Oryctolagus cuniculus: one gene and its partners. The protein of the gene in region 2 binds, or shares a complex with, the protein of the main gene of each other region. Links are inferred from orthologs where the notes say so. Each region holds a gene or a part of one and is shown on either strand. Other genes may lie near its edges.

Evidence for each region. Proteins that work in one complex are often made in the same cells at the same time.
Region 1: TAF6 (region 2) and TAF7 share a complex: the UniProt entries of both Homo sapiens proteins name them as parts of the TFIID basal transcription factor complex. The link is inferred for Oryctolagus cuniculus from reciprocal best matches to the Homo sapiens genes TAF6 and TAF7.
Region 3: TAF6 (region 2) and TAF11 share a complex: the UniProt entries of both Homo sapiens proteins name them as parts of the TFIID basal transcription factor complex. The link is inferred for Oryctolagus cuniculus from reciprocal best matches to the Homo sapiens genes TAF6 and TAF11.
Region 4: TAF6 (region 2) and TAF10 share a complex: the UniProt entries of both Homo sapiens proteins name them as parts of the TFIID basal transcription factor complex. The link is inferred for Oryctolagus cuniculus from reciprocal best matches to the Homo sapiens genes TAF6 and TAF10.

Annotation. Positions count from the first base shown.
Region 1 is NC_091437.1:28,859,471-28,862,676, forward strand, and holds TAF7 (transcription initiation factor TFIID subunit 7), read right to left. Parts: upstream 2,024-3,206; coding exon 974-2,023; 3' UTR 501-973; downstream 1-500. UniProt on the Homo sapiens protein: The TFIID basal transcription factor complex plays a major role in the initiation of RNA polymerase II (Pol II)-dependent transcription.
Region 2 is NC_091450.1:42,376,085-42,380,279, reverse strand, and holds the start of TAF6 (transcription initiation factor TFIID subunit 6), read left to right. Parts: upstream 1-1,384; 5' UTR 1,385-1,911; coding exon 1,912-2,181; intron 2,182-2,271; coding exon 2,272-2,358; intron 2,359-2,478; coding exon 2,479-2,632; intron 2,633-2,818; coding exon 2,819-2,875; intron 2,876-2,969; coding exon 2,970-3,089; intron 3,090-3,297; coding exon 3,298-3,443; intron 3,444-3,552; coding exon 3,553-3,630; intron 3,631-3,718; coding exon 3,719-3,820; intron 3,821-3,910; coding exon 3,911-4,093; intron 4,094-4,195. UniProt on the Homo sapiens protein: The TFIID basal transcription factor complex plays a major role in the initiation of RNA polymerase II (Pol II)-dependent transcription.
Region 3 is NC_091436.1:134,549,490-134,553,782, forward strand, and holds the start of TAF11 (transcription initiation factor TFIID subunit 11), read left to right. Parts: upstream 1-1,493; 5' UTR 1,494-1,602; coding exon 1,603-1,773; intron 1,774-4,243; coding exon 4,244-4,293. Other genes in the region: ANKS1A (ankyrin repeat and SAM domain-containing protein 1A), read right to left, coding at 1-194. UniProt on the Homo sapiens protein: The TFIID basal transcription factor complex plays a major role in the initiation of RNA polymerase II (Pol II)-dependent transcription.
Region 4 is NC_091432.1:60,280,582-60,283,989, reverse strand, and holds TAF10 (transcription initiation factor TFIID subunit 10), read right to left. Parts: upstream 1,919-3,408; 5' UTR 1,882-1,918; coding exon 1,650-1,881; intron 1,510-1,649; coding exon 1,355-1,509; intron 1,115-1,354; coding exon 1,050-1,114; intron 964-1,049; coding exon 849-963; intron 668-848; coding exon 578-667; 3' UTR 501-577; downstream 1-500. Other genes in the region: ILK (integrin-linked protein kinase), read left to right, coding at 118-267. UniProt on the Homo sapiens protein: The TFIID basal transcription factor complex plays a major role in the initiation of RNA polymerase II (Pol II)-dependent transcription.

The sequences.
Region 1 (3,206 bases), on a different chromosome or scaffold from region 2:
GGAGTGCAGTGGAGGATGGCCCAGGTGCTTGGGCCCTGCACCCCATGGGAGACCAGGAAAAGCACCTGGCTCCTGGCTCCTGCCAGGATCAGCGCGGTGCGCCGGCTGCAGCGGCGGCCATTGGAGGGTGAACCAACGGCAAAGGAAGACCTTTCTCTCTCTCTCTCTCTCTCTCACTGTCCACTCTGCCTGTCAAAAAAAAAAAAAAAAAAAAAAGGGTAAAGCAGGCCTTCATCTACAAATACTAGAGTAGTTTAGAATGGCTCTGTATCTCATGTTTTCCAGCCTCCTGATGGAGCAGGTGGATTAGAACCTTAATAGAATGCAAAGATGACATTTCCCAATTTCTGCTATGTTCCTTTTTTTTTTTTTTTTTAACCCACAACTGCTTCTTTACCTGCAAAGCAGGACCAAACTGACCAATCATTAAACTCTACCGAGAAACCACCTCAAAAGATTATCTGACTCCTATTACCAATGAAAAAATCAAGACACATAAGTTGAAAATTAGTCGCTTTTATTTATGTTAGAAACCTTATGAAATTATTTGCATCTCTACATGTGTGAAACTGCTTTGATTTAACTGAGAAAATAGTTAGGGAAACATATGCAAACCAACTTCATTGCCTCTACACTAGGTTCTTACCTATCTCAGAAGGCACCACATGGCAGCAATAGCAGCTTCCGGGAAATGGGGAAACAGCAGCAAAGTCCTGCAATGCAGCTGTGAATATTAGGGTTCAGCTGTTCATTCCACTAACCCTACAACTTCCTAACAATTACATTACTGCCTAGTCAATCCTAATTCTATAGAATGAACACCTAGCAAAGTGCTTCTTGAAAACAAGATAATTTAAAAAGAACTTCTAGCATTAGAAGGAACGGGAACTACTGCAAAATCTTAAAATCCAGAAAAAGTGATGAAGATTTTCTTAGTGTGGAACCATCAGGTTCAAAATGATCAAAATTCTTCTTACTTCTCTAGGAGTGACTCCAGCTCTTCCTGCAAAGAGCTGAGCTGCTCCTTTTCTCGGTCTTCCTTTTGTTTTAACTCATCCAGCACAGCCTGAAATCTGTTCTTGAGAGCCAGGTTTTCCACCTTCATGATGAGATCCTCCTGTCGCTTGGCCCTGTCCTGGGTCTCCTGGAGCTTGCCTTTCATGTTGTCAATCTGCTTCTGAATGCCCATAACCAGCTGGTTGGTCCCTTCGTTTTCTTGGTGCTGTTCATCTGACTCATTCAGCTTGTCCTGCAGCTGTCTCTCCAGGTCTTCCTCAGTGTCGATGATGTTTATATCTTCTTCGTCCTGGTGCTGGGTGTCATCTTCATCCTCGCTGCTGCTGCTGAGGTCATTGAATATCTCCCGAAGCTCATCGTGCTCCAGGGAGTCCTGGCCCTGCCTGTGGCCAGACATTCCTGGGGAAGAGATGTCAAGGCCTTGATTCTCCGTCTCTTTTGTTTCATCTTCAGCAATTATCTCCCAGCGAGTACTGACAGCTTCCGCATCTGTACTCAGCAACCGCTTCACTTCTTTCTCCACGTCTGGAGACTCAATATACTTTTTCTTTGCTGTCTTCCGGAATCTTCTCTTTCTGACATTCTTTAGAGGCAGAGTAATTCCATGGTTCCAGACGAACTTTTTCTCTTTGTCCTTATCCTTTTTCTTGCTTGCTTTGGGGTCAGCAGCAGCAACTGGCTCCTCCACAGGGGGATAAAGATCACCATCAACTGTGGACACGAGCATCTGACAGATATCAGCAGTCTTGTAAAAGGTTTTTTTATCGATGGTTTTCAAGCTTTCCATAACACACGGCAGATCCACCAGTTTTGAGGCCAGAGGGACCCGGTCCACTCTGACAATTCCATGACGCCCATCGGGGTGTAACTCGATGGTCAGTCTGTCTTTCAGGTTGACATGCCCCGACTGCACTGCCCTCCTCACAGTAGCAGCATATTCTGGAGGCAGGCGCAAGATAAACTGGCTCTCCAGCTCATGAGGGGCATCATCTTTGCTCTTACTCATCTTCACTTCTTTCTGACTCCCTTCTCCTAATAAACACTTGCTGCACTGAAAAGTTTCAGCTACTGCAACAATTTAAAAGACCAGTTCCTTATGAATTAAAATCTAACAACAGAAGGTTCTATGCAGAACAGTAGCTAAGCATCTGTTTTGTCTTAATTTTTAATCAAGCCACAAATCTTTTCTCTAAATATGCTGCACTCCACACCCGCTGTTTGTTACCGACACACTGGCTTATTCAGAGAATTAAGTCCATTTAAAGCCTGGAGCTGCAATGCCGAGTTCCAGCCTCTAGGTGCCGCCTCCAGACAATGCAGACAGAGCAAGCGGGCGAGCGAGCGAGCAGGAAAGCAAATGGCGGCTCCTGCAGAATGAAGACGGCACAAAATTAGGACAAGCAGTCAACACCGACCCAAACCCTCCCGAAACAAGCATAACTGAAAAAGCGGGACGCAGCGAGCTGCCTTTGCCTCGGGTACTTACAATCCAGTGACGGTTATAAATTCAGCTTCGCGCCGGGCGCAGGCGGCGGGGGGAGGAAGCCACTCGCTGCAAAGCGGCGGGGAGCCTCTTCTCTCGCCGACTCCTTTGTTCTTCCTGCTGCTCAGCTGAGTGATCCGCTACTGATTACCAATGCTTCGGTCCCGGCGGGAAGCGCGAAATTTCGCCGAGACGCGCTGCGCAGAGCCACACACCGGAGGCTCCGCAGGCGTCTGCCTGCAGCCGCTTGCAGAGCTGGCTTTAAAGCCGCGCTGCGTCACGGCGCGGGGCGGGAAGCGGCCGTGAGTGACAGCACGGCCGGGCGGAAAGACGGCCCGCCCCGAGCGCGCGCAGACGCAGTCGCGGCGCTGCGATTCCGGCCGGGACTCGTTCTCTGGATCCAGGGGAATTGTTTTAGGGCGTGAAAATGAAGTTTCCTGCCGACCTAGTTTGAAAATAAGAGATAACGATTGCAGGAAGGTCACAGAGCCTCCCCCTGCTGAGACAGCATTTGTACCGGACCGGCAAGCGCCGAGATAGCGTCTAGACTTCGGGGGTCAGGGCATGTTTGCAGAAAGCGTTTTGCTTCGGGAAACGTCTCGCGTGTTCCCCAGGAGTTACCCATTCTGGTGTCGGTGCAGGAATTTGTAACTAACCACAAAGTGGATTTAAAAGTTCCCAAATCAATGGCGTAAGGAGAGCATGC
Region 2 (4,195 bases):
CCCGCGTGTGTGCTTGCCTTGGACGGATCCTGGGGGAGATGGGGTGGGCTCTCTGAGCCGCCCTTCCGTGTTGCCTGAGGATCTCCGACCCGCTTCTCCGCTGGGGAAGACGACTTCCCAGCTCTAGCTCGAGTTGACCTCCTCCGAGAAGCCTTCCTGCCGCCGCCGCCGCCGCCCCCGCCGCCCCGAGGAGCTCCTGCGGCTGTAGCGTGTCTTATGAGCCTTTACTGGCAGAGGGCACTGGTACTGGAGAACTAGTCGGAGTTCGCCCGGCGCCAGGCACGGAGTATGTGTTGAATAATTGTGTTCCCTTCAGATGTGAAAGCGGGGGTGAAGACCTAGGACTGCTTCAGAAGAACCAGGTCCTCCTGCCTCCATTCCCCCACCCCGCCCCCGGCCTGTCTCCACCGAGTCCTGAACACCCCTGATGTTCCTTTTCCTAACGCCAAGCTCCGTGCGTGCCGCTCTCCTTCGGAGCCTGTGGCTTATTCGTCTTGGCACTAGTGATATTGAAAACTTACTGGGCATCGACACCTCTCAGCCTTACAGTCCATTCATTTACTCAACAACTATTTATTACTTCCGGTGTCACGGGCACCAGCCTGGGTTTCAGGAATACATCAGTGAGCAAAACAGAGATCCCTGTCTCCATGGTGGGCGATTCGGGCACTGATAATAAGAATGCCAAAAATAAGAAGTGGTGCGGCGTATTGATTAAATGCTCTGGGACAGAGCAAAATGCAATGGAATGAGGGCAGACGAATAGGGTGGTCAGCATAGGTAGCAATAAAGCTGGCCCCCACCAGAGGAGAAAAGGAACGAGTGGACTCCTGAGCATGAAGCTGTAGAGGGACTTTATGAGGAGAGACTCCTAGACAGAGGGAGAGAGCCGAGGCCGTAGAGCAAGAGCACGCCTCGCAGGTGGTTGTGGCAAGGTGGAAGAAGGAACAGGCCAGAGGTGGAATGGGAGAGGGAAGACCTTGAAGGGTCGGTAGACAAGGAGCCATTACAGGGAACTGTGGTTTGAATACGACTTTTCCACCAGCTCTAATCCCCAGAGTCACGCTAATGGTGTTAAGGGGGTGGGAGCTTAAATCTGACTTTGGCGTTTAGAGGCGTGGCCTTTGGAAGGTGTTAAGGTTTAGATAAGGTCATTAGGGTGAAGCCCTTGTAATTGAATCCTGGTGGGTTTATAAGAACAGAGATACACACATACAATCCCACCAGGACGTGAGGCAGCGTGGGGGCAGGGGACTTGCCAGCCCCTGTGAGCTGTGAACCTCTTTATGGAGTAGCATGCCTCAGGGACTTCATTATAGTAACAAAGAGCTGGCTGATGCTCCAGGTTTTCAGTGGAGAAATGACAATCTGGCTTACATTTTTTTTTTTTTTTTTTGACAGGCAGAGTGGACAGAGAGACAGAGAGAAAGGTCTTCCTTTGCTGTTGGTTCACCCTCCAATGGCCGCCGCGGCCAGCGCACCGCGCTGATCCGATGGCAGGAGCCAGGAGCCAGGTGCTTTTCCTGGTCTCCAATGGGGTGCAGGGCCCAAGCACCTGGGCCATCCTCCACTGCACTCCCTGGCCACAGCAGAGGGCTGGCCTGGAAGAGGGGCAACCGGGACAGAATCCGGCGCCCCGACCGGGACTAGAACCCGGTGTGCCGGCGCCGCTAGGCGGAGGATTAGCCTAGTGAGCCGCGGCGCCGGCCTTCAATCTGGCTTACATTTTGGCAGAGTCACTTTGGCTGCTATGTTGGGAATTCGTGTAGAGAGGAAGGAGTTACCCAGGCAATAGGTGGATGGTGGTGACCTGGGCCAAACTAAGTAAAAGAATCAGGTTGGATTACTTGGTGGATCTGATGGGAGGGTGGGATAAAGAGTGCCTGGATACATGGAGAGCTGAGCTTGGAGATGGTAAGGGAGACTGGGAATTCGGTTTTGGTGGGGACTTTGGGTTGTTTTCCTCTTTGCCTCCTCCCTGTCTCTCCCCTACAGCATCCTCCTTCAGGGAGGAGGAGTTCCAGAATGGCTGAGGAGAAGAAGCTGAAACTTAGCAACACCGTGCTGCCCTCGGAATCCATGAAGGTGGTGGCCGAGTCCATGGGCATCGCCCAGATCCAGGAGGAGACCTGCCAGCTGCTGACCGATGAGGTCAGCTACCGCATCAAGGAGATCGCCCAGGTAGCCGGGGCCTTCCGTCCAGGGTGTCGCCTGGGCCCTCTTCTCCCTCCAGGTCTTGGATTGATGATGTCTGTTCTCCCTCCTCCCCAGGACGCTTTGAAGTTCATGCACATGGGTAAGCGGCAGAAGCTCACCACCAGCGACATTGACTACGCCCTGAAGCTGAAGAACGTCGAGGTGACGGGGGCGGAGGGGTGGCAGCAGGGAGCGGAGACGCCAGCCTTCCAGATGCTGCGTTGACCTTCGGCCAGGCCTCCACGGGCTCCTCTCTCAGTGTCTGCGTCTCTCCTGCTGCAGCCCCTCTATGGCTTCCACGCTCAGGAGTTCATCCCTTTCCGTTTCGCCTCTGGCGGGGGACGGGAGCTGTACTTCTACGAGGAGAAGGAGGTTGATCTGAGCGACATCATCAACACCCCGCTGCCCCGGGTGCCCCTGGACGTCTGCCTCAAAGGTCGGGGCAGGGGTGGGCGGGGTGGCGGGGAGGAGGAGTGTGGGTGTGGGTGTGAGAAAGTCAGAAGAGAAGCAGGCCTCTGGTGAGTGGCAAGAAGGGGATCAGGGACAAACACGCCTCCCTCAGGGTGGCGTGGCCGCCTCATGTCCAGGTCCCGCACCTCAACTTGACACCTCTTTCCTGCAGCTCACTGGCTGAGCATTGAAGGCTGCCAGCCAGCTATACCAGAGAACCCACCCCCAGGTAACCGCCATACCCAGCGCCCACCCCTGCCCTGTCCTCCATCCCCTCCTCCTGCCTCGCGTCACCTCTCCTGCTGGGACACCTTTCCCTCCAGCTCCCAAAGAGCAGCAGAAGGCTGAGGCCACAGAACCCCTCAAGTCCACAAAGCCGGGCCAGGAGGAAGATGGGCCCCTGAAAAGCAAAGGTCAAGGGGCCGCGCCAGCCGACGGCAAAGGTCAGTGCTGCTGGGCCAGGCTCCTCCCGACGCCCACTGGTCGTTTGTGAAGTGCGTGAGGTCATGGCCAGTGAGGCCCGGAAGGGATGGAGAACCCTAGGAGAGGGAGCCAGGCCGCCTGGATGGGGATGTGGGACGTCGAGGTTGTCTGGCACCGCGGCATCTTCTGGAGCTTCCTTCTGCAAACCTGTGTCCTCGGTTCCCACAGGGAAAGAGAAGAAGGCACCGCCCCTGCTGGAGGGGACCCCTTTGCGCCTGAAGCCCCGGAGCATCCACGAGTTGTCCGTGGAGCAGCAGCTGTACTACAAGGAGATCACAGAAGCCTGCGTGGGGTCCTGCGAGGCCAAGAGAGCGGTGAGGCCCCACCGCCCCGCCGGCCCGCCCTCCCCCCAGGACGCCTCCTCTGGGGCTCCAGGTTGTCCCACCATCCCGCCCCGCCTCACTCGCTCCCCCTCTCCCACAGGAGGCTCTGCAGAGCATTGCTACGGACCCGGGCCTCTACCAGATGCTGCCGCGATTCAGCACCTTCATCTCAGAGGGGGTGAGGATGAGGTTCAGCAGGAGCAAGGGGTGCTCTGAGTTCTTGCACCTCGGGGGGTCTCACTGCCCCCACCTCTCCCCGGCCACAGGTCCGTGTGAACGTAGTTCAGAACAACCTGGCCCTGCTCATCTACCTGATGCGCATGGTAAAGGCGCTGATGGACAACCCTACGCTGTATCTAGAAAAATACGTGAGTGCCCCTGCCTGCCCTCCGGCCTCCCCGCGGCCACCGAGGCGGCACCTGCCGGGCGGGCTCAGCTGAGCCACGCCTCTCCGTCAGGTGCATGAGCTGATTCCAGCTGTGATGACCTGCATTGTGAGCAGGCAGCTGTGCCTGCGACCCGATGTGGACAATCACTGGGCACTCCGGGATTTTGCCGCCCGCCTGGTGGCTCAGATCTGCAAGCATTTCAGCACAACCACTAACAACATCCAGTCCCGGATCACCAAGACCTTCACCAAGGTGAGCTGGCCGCTCCCCGTCACTGCCCCAGGCCCGTCAGCAGCTCCGCCCACAGCAGCCGCGGGGGACAGAATGCTGTCCTTTTCAGACACCGTTGATCTG
Region 3 (4,293 bases), on a different chromosome or scaffold from region 2:
CTGAGCAGACTGGAGAGAGGGTGGCTGGAAGAGCCGAGGCCGCCGCCGCCGCCGCCGCCGCCGCCACTGCCCCCAGAGGAGCCGCCGCCGCCACCCCCGAAGCCTGAGGAGAGCCGCTTCCCGGACAGCAGCTTCTCCACGGCCGGGAGGTGCCCGGTGCGGGCCGCCTCCAGCAGCTCCTGCTCCTTCCCCATCCCCAGGGCCGCCACCCCAGGACCCCCCACCCCGGGGCCACCGTGGAGCCGGCTCGGCTCCCAAACTTTCCGTCTCCGGGCAACGCACCCCCTAAACCGGCCGGGGACACCACCCCCCTCCCCCCCCGCCTTTTCCCCACGAGCGCGTCACTTCCGGGATCCGGCGTCACGCGTCACCGCGCCCCCATGCCCCGCCCCCTTGCCCACCTAGCTGGGCGGGGCTCCGCGTCCCTGTGCAGGTGGACCTTGGTGTGTCAGGACAGGACTTGGGGGTCAATGGGGCAGTGCCATGTGGGTACCCATTGAAGAAGTGGAAAGGGACAAAGGGGACCCACCTGTGTACGCCTCCAAAGTGCGCTTCTTTTCCAAAGGTTTTGGGAGCTCACGGGACAGGAAATACGGTAATTCGTCCCGGCGGTGTGGAAACAAAGAGAGAAATATGGTAATACGCACCTACATTTCCAAGTCCGTTCTTTAAGCATAAAGCAGTATGTAACAGGTGCGGGAGCCTGGTAATACAGAGGTGAATAAAACGCCCTGCCCCTCCCTCCGCGTGCCTCAATGAAAAAAGGCAGGACATTTTAAAAGCAGAAATATCCTAGCCCCTTCACCATCCCAATCCGTGAAATGGCTCATTAAAGTGAAGCGCTCAAAGGAGAGACCTCCCACCCTGTAGGGATTCCTCATGATGAGACTGAGTGGGTAACAGAAGTCAGGCTTGAGAAACCTATCCCGATTTTCAGCACTGGCGAACTGGAAAAATCATTTAATTCGGTAGAAAATGTTTTTTCCCTGTACTAGCGCTGCTCCGGACTCAGAAACAGGCAGTCAACACTCGTGGAGTGAATGAATGGGTTGGATAAACACTGCTCAAGCAATAGGACTTTTTTTTTTTAAGGTGCTCGTGAAATATTCGTAGAGGGGAAATGGTGGCAATTCAATGTAAAGTCAGGCCCGCAGTCTGTCCAGGTGAAATAAAGGAGGTTGAGTCCCTGCCTGAAAGTTTGCTACCCCAAGGTTACGCGACAGCCGCGTACAAAAGGAGCAGTTTTCTCCCAGGTCCTCCAACTTTGAGGAAGAGGTTAACTGACAAAGCATTCTTAGAACGACGGAAAGGAAAAAGAAACCCTTCAGGAAGCACAACTGCACTTCTTCACAGGTGCTGGTCTCCAAGGACGGATCCACAGGGGACTTTGCACCCTCAGCGTTCTCTCTCCAGCACCACCCACCCAGGATTCAAACGGAGCCCTCAGGTGCTCCGCGCGCCCCCCATGGCCCTTCCGAGGACCAGTAGTGGTGACGACATCGCGGTGCGACGACAGGAAGTAAGCGCCCACTGTGCCGCGCGAGGTCCGGAGCTCCGCGGCCGACAGCACCGCGATCTCCTCCCCTTGCCGTTCTAGCTGTGATGGACAATGCCCGCGAGTCTCCTGCGGACAAAGGTGGGGAAGCAGGGGAGTCAGACGAGACGACTGCTGCTCCTGGGGGCCCGGGGACTGCGGACACGGACGGGATCCCGGAGGAAGCGGACGGAGACGGAGACGCGGACTTGAAAGAAGCGGCAGCGGAGGAAGGCGAGGTAGGCAGAGAAGTGTGACTGAGGTTGGAGGCATACGCCGGGATTGTGTTACCCGGAGCTCGCCACGATTCCCTCTAGATCTGCCGTCCGGGGAGTGTGGGAGGAGCAACAAAACTGTGGTGCTGGTTTGGTTCCAGAGACTCGAGCATTAGGTTTTAATATGTTTAGTCCTTGCCTTTCGGGATTAAAGCTACATCTAAGTGAATTTTAAATAGCTTCTTGGTTTTCCTATTGATGAAGTCGGTACTGTCATCCCGAGACTTAGTGCAAGAGCCAAAATCCAGGATTCCCAGCGCGCCTTTCACCGCACTATAGGTCCTCTTAGTTAATTGTTGTTTAAGTACAGCTTTCGTCTTTACAGGAGGCAGAGTTGATCAGATCTGTTAACGGGAGACTTTGAAGTCATATTCTCATCCAGCTGCTGCAGTGTCCTCCGTGCTAATGTCCAGGGGTTTCTATAACGTAAAAACACCAAATCCATCAGCTGTGCTCTCAGGATAGCTCAGCAGGGTTGCCTAACCGCGCAACAATCGCGACCAGAATCTCAGCGTCCTGTGGGTTCCTTTTCTAAAGAGAGAATTTCTAGGATCTTAGAGGCAGAAGGAACTGAAGAGCTCATGGACTGAACGTTAGATGGATAGCCTTGTCACCAAAACATACACGGTAAGCTTTTAGAAAAAGAGAAGACAGTTGACAAAGCTGAAGAAGGAAAAGTTAAAATGGGTCTCAAGGACGCAAAGGAATTGAATAATTAGCATGGTCCACTAAAGGAGCTCACTACAATATAGAAGTTTGGAGCCAGCAGAGGATAGAATTATGATGCTTTTGAAACATTTTTAAAAATTAGGCCGGCGCCGCGGCTCACTAGGCTAATCCTCCGCCTTGCGGCGCCGGCACACCGGGTTCTAGTCCCAGTCAGGGCGCCAGATTCTGTCCCGGTTGCCCCTCTTCCAGGCCAGCCCTCTGCTGTGGCCAGGGAGTGCAGTGGAGGATGGCCCAAGTCCTTGGGCCCTGCACCCCATGGGAGACCAGGAGAAGCACCTGGCTCCTGCCATCGGATCAGCGCGGTGCGCCGGCTGCAGCGCGCCGGCCGCGGCGGCCATTGGAGGGTGAACCAACGGCAAAGGAAGACCTTTCTCTCTGTCTCTCTCTCTCTCACTGTCCACTCTGCCTGTAAAAAAAAAAAAAAAAAAAAAAAAAAAAAAAAATTAATCAAAGACCAGCATTGTGGCACAGCAGGTTAAGCTACCTGCAACCCCAGAATCCCATATGGGCACTGGTTCAGTTCTGGCTGCTCCGCTTCCAGTCTAGGCCCTTGCTGATGTGCCTGGGAAGGCAGCTGAAGGTGGCCCAAGTTGAGCACCTGCACCCATGTAGGACTTCTGGCTTCCACCTGGCCCAGCCCTGGTGGTTGTGACCAATTGGGGAGTGAACTAGCAGATGGAAGAACTCTGTCTCTCCCTCTCTCTGTAACTCTGCCTTTCGATAAAAATTGATTATGTTGGGGCCAGCACTGTGGATTAGCTTTAAATATGTAACATAATGCATGTAAGTATGTAAAATATTTATTAATATTCTTTAAGTCAGAATCACAAAGTTGGGGGTGGGGGGTGGGGAGTGAGCAAGCTTCCATCTGCCTGTTCATTCCCCCAAATGGTCACAGTGGCTAGAGCTGGGCCAGGCTGAAGCCAGGAGTCAGTAGCTTCTTCCAGGTCTCCCACATGGGTGCAGGGGCCCAAGGACTTGGGCCATCTTTGGGCCATCTTCTGCTGCTTTCCCAAGCACATTAGCAGGGAGCTGGATCAGAAGTAGAGCAGCCAGGACTTGAACTGGCACTCATATGAGATGCCAGTGCTGCAGACAGCAGCTTAACCCACTATGCCACAGCATTGGCCCCTACATATTTTTGATTTTCAAAGAATGTACTTATTAGAAAAAAAAAATGGCCTATCTGCTGATTCACACTCCAAATGCCCAAAACAGCTCAGACACTCTAATAGGGGACATGGACATCCCAACCAGCATCTCAGATTTTCACTCCAGGGCCTCCTTTTTAATAATCTTTCTAAATTGAATCGTCAATAGTAAAAATATCTTTGGATCCAGAGGAGAAGAGCTGGCTGGCTGGAGAGGGCTTTGGTGACATCCCCTGTAAGGAATGAGCAGGAGAGAGAGTCCATGGAGAGAGTGGTTTTCATGATCTTGGCCATTTCTTTATCCTTGTATACAGACACTGAAGCTGTGATCATAGCTAAACTGGAAAACTAGATTATTTAACTGGTTCTTTCTACAGCCTAACTAACCTTCCTTGAGGAGAGATACTGTATCTTATACTGGGTGGAACAGTCAGTTCTGGGACAAAAAAACTACACAATAAGTGGATCTGTTGTGTTATGAGGATGATGTCTTAACCTTAGCCAAGCCTGGAAAGTAGGACAAATATATAATAGAGTTCTTTTCATCTTCCCAGCTCAAAAGTCAGGACGTCTCCGATTTAACAGCAGGTGAAAGGGAAGACGC
Region 4 (3,408 bases), on a different chromosome or scaffold from region 2:
ATTGTAGCTCTACCCACAGTTGTTCAGATACATAATCCTGTCCCAAGGGTCAGAGGTCTCTTCCTGTATGACACACTCAAATTCTGAAGCTCATCTTAATTTTCCTTGTATTCGCAGGTGGCACTGGAAGGCCTTCGGCCCACCATCCCACCAGGTATTTCCCCCCATGTGTGCAAGCTCATGAAGATCTGCATGAATGAAGACCCTGCTAAGCGACCCAAATTTGACATGATTGTGCCTATCCTGGAGAAGATGCAGGACAAATAGAACTGCAAGGTCCTTGCTGAAACTCCAAGGTGTCAGGACATGGTTGGGGGAGTGTAACTCCCCAAAGCAGTAGGCCTCTGGTTGCCTCCCCTGCCTCCAGTCATGGTACTACCCCAGCCATGGGGCCCATCCTCTGCCCCCATCCCTACCACTGTGGCCCCAAAAGGGGCTGGGCTCAGAGCTTTGTCACTTGCCACACGGTGTCTCCCAGAATGGGAGGGATCAGCCCCGCCTGTCACAATAAAGTTTATTACGAAAACAGGCTGGTGTGGGGACATGGGGATAGAGAAGTACATTTAGGTTGCGTGGCTCAGGTGAAGTAGTGCGGCTTCTTCACATTGATGCCATACTCGCTGAGGGCAGGGGTCAAGTCCTCCATGGTTAGAGTGTACTTGCGGTCCTGAGGGAAGAGGGAAGAGTACCAGCTGAGCACAGGAATCCGAGATTGAAGTCCCAGGTGGGTGATCCTGAGTAGCCTTACACCTCCCCTGGGACTTAGTTTCCCCACAGGGCTCTCAGGATAAGTTAAGCCTCCGCTGCTGTGGAGGGTAATTACTGGTTAAGTGAGCCTCCCCTCACACCTTGCTCTTGCTCCGGGAGCTGCCAGAGGCTGTGCCCTTCATTTTGCAGTGCTGTAGGGCATCGTTGGCAATATCTGAGATGAATTTCTGGGCAGCTAGGGAGATGAGCCGAATTCTAGAGAGAAAAAACTGGTATGAGAAGGAGGTGGACAACAACCTGCAGAAGCACTCAAAGCTCTAGCCTACCCTGGGTTTACTCACATGCGTGGGTCTGAGGCCTCAAAGCCAGCACGGTTCAAGTAGTAACCAGTCACTGCGTCTGGGATCTGAGAAATCAATGAGACAACTGTCAGCATTAGTCCTGCTCCCTGCTGGGCTGTGGGAGGAGGGTGAGGGAGAGAGGATAGGCCTGGCTATCAAGAAGCTCACAGTTTGGGTGGGCGGAGGGACTAAATCACAAGAGCTAGTAGGGGAGCAAATGTAAGATGACGCTGGAAAGCACGGAGGTGTGGCTGTAAGTTGGCGTGGATGCGGGCCAGATGGCCTTGTTCAGGCGGGAAGCCCACCGTAGGCGTATAGTCCTCCAGCTGCATCAAGAAGTCCACCAGAGGCGTGCTAGACACCACGGGCTTCACGTCTCCGTTGGCCGCGCTCGGTAGTACGTAAACCCCGTTAGACATCGCCCCCTCCGGGGGTGCCGCGCCGCCCGCCGACACCGGAGCTGGAGGAGAACCAGCAAACTGAGACACGGAGGTGACAGGCGCAGGGTCCCAGGCAGATCTGCCTTGTACCCTCAACCCTCACCCGCCGCGAAGCCCCGTCCAAGGCTCTTCCCTCACCCTCACCCGTCCCGGCCCTCACCCGCCCCGCGCCGTTCGGTGGGCTCCCCAGCCCGCGCCGCCACGGGTCCCGCGCCCCCGGCCGCGGCTCCAGCCCCAGGCCCCCCTGCTGTCCCCGCGGGGCTGGCCTTGTTCTCCGCGGCGGTGCTGGTGGGCAGCGCGGCGGGAGCCGAGACCGGGGGTGCCGGGCCCGGGGCCGAGGCGGCGGAGGCCGGCGCCGCCTCGGGGTCCGCGCCGGAGCCGCTGCAGCTCATCGGGCTGGTGGGAGAGGCGGCGAACAGAGCCGCTTCCGCTTCCGCTCACGTTACGCACACCCCAGAGTGACGTCACGCGCTCCCCGACTCGCCCCGCCTGTCAATATTTGCTCGGTCCCTGCGGCTTCCCGCCTCCTTTCTTTGCCTCACGGCGGGTTAGGCGAGGAGGCAAGGGGGCGGAGACCAATCCGGGAGAACTACGCGGTCGCCATTCCACCCTCCACCCCGCGGTGCTCCCAGTCGACTCCGCACTTGTGGGTCCCGGGCTCTAATTACGGGTCGAGGACTCCTCATTCAATCGGACGTTCCAAGACCTTGATTTGGGGCTCATCGGCCCGGCACCCCTAGTCTGCCAGTCCGCATTTTCCTGGTTTCCTTATTCAACCTTTTAAAGGTTCAGAGTGGCGTTGGAAAGCCCCCTCCCAAGCCAACTGCCTGCAAGGGAGAGTGCCGCATTCAGTGATGCTGTAGATGGAGAGGAGAGTATTTCAGCCTAAGGAAACAAAATCACATCAAGCGAAAGCATGAGGTTTCCCATTCCGCAAACATTTATTTAATTCGTATTTGCCAACTCTTGAGCCACTCTTGACTGGGAATACAAAGTTAAGTAGGACAAAATTCTAGTTCTGTAGGCACCAGTGGTCTTGGAAAAGGAGGTAAACTGGCAATTTCAATACCATATGGGCGTTAACGATGCTAGAGGTAGGCAGTGCGTGCAGTGCAATGGAGGAAGGGAACAATTGCTGCCTACTTCCAGGTGCCAAGCGCTCCGTCGGCATTATTCCACTGAATTATTCCCTGATTGTTATGAAAGACAGGTAATGAGGAAATGGGCTCAAGGCGATAAACTCTTTTGCTCAAGGTTCTCATTTGTATTGCAACCAAGGTTCACTCAGGTTTGGTTACAAAAATCTAGGATTTTTATGCTACACAAAAATCAGTTAGCTTCTGGGAATCTAAACCTTCAATGAGATGACTTTAGAGCTGAGTCTGTAAAGAATCCTGGAAATTAACCAGGCATTTCTATCAGGGGTGGCTTCAACTAGGGCGAGTTCCTTAAGGGAAGGAAAAATGATTTTGTTACTCAGGAGCAAATAGCAGAAAAGGTTTGTGAACCAAGCCTGAACTTTATCCAGTAATTTTGAAGGATTTTAATCAAGTAAATGGCCTGAGGAGGTTTACATTTTACTTTGGAAAATGTATTAAGGCTGGGTAGGAAGCATGGACACTATTTTTGCAAGGGCCTCCTGCATATTCAGAAGAGAGAGAATATGGTTCAAAGCTAATATGGTAGCACTGGGAAAAGAGAGAATGGGTAAGTTCTAAATATATTTAAATATAGTTGGAATGCATTGTAAATTGATAAACACTTTTTTTTTTAAGAGGCAAAATCTGTAGGGATGTTGATTGAATATGGTGATAGGTGAAGGAAATAGAGGAGTCAAGGATGGCACAGATTTCAGGCTTGGTTGGAAGAGACATAATGTTGTTTACCAAAGACAAATAATAGGTCGAATATTTTGGGGT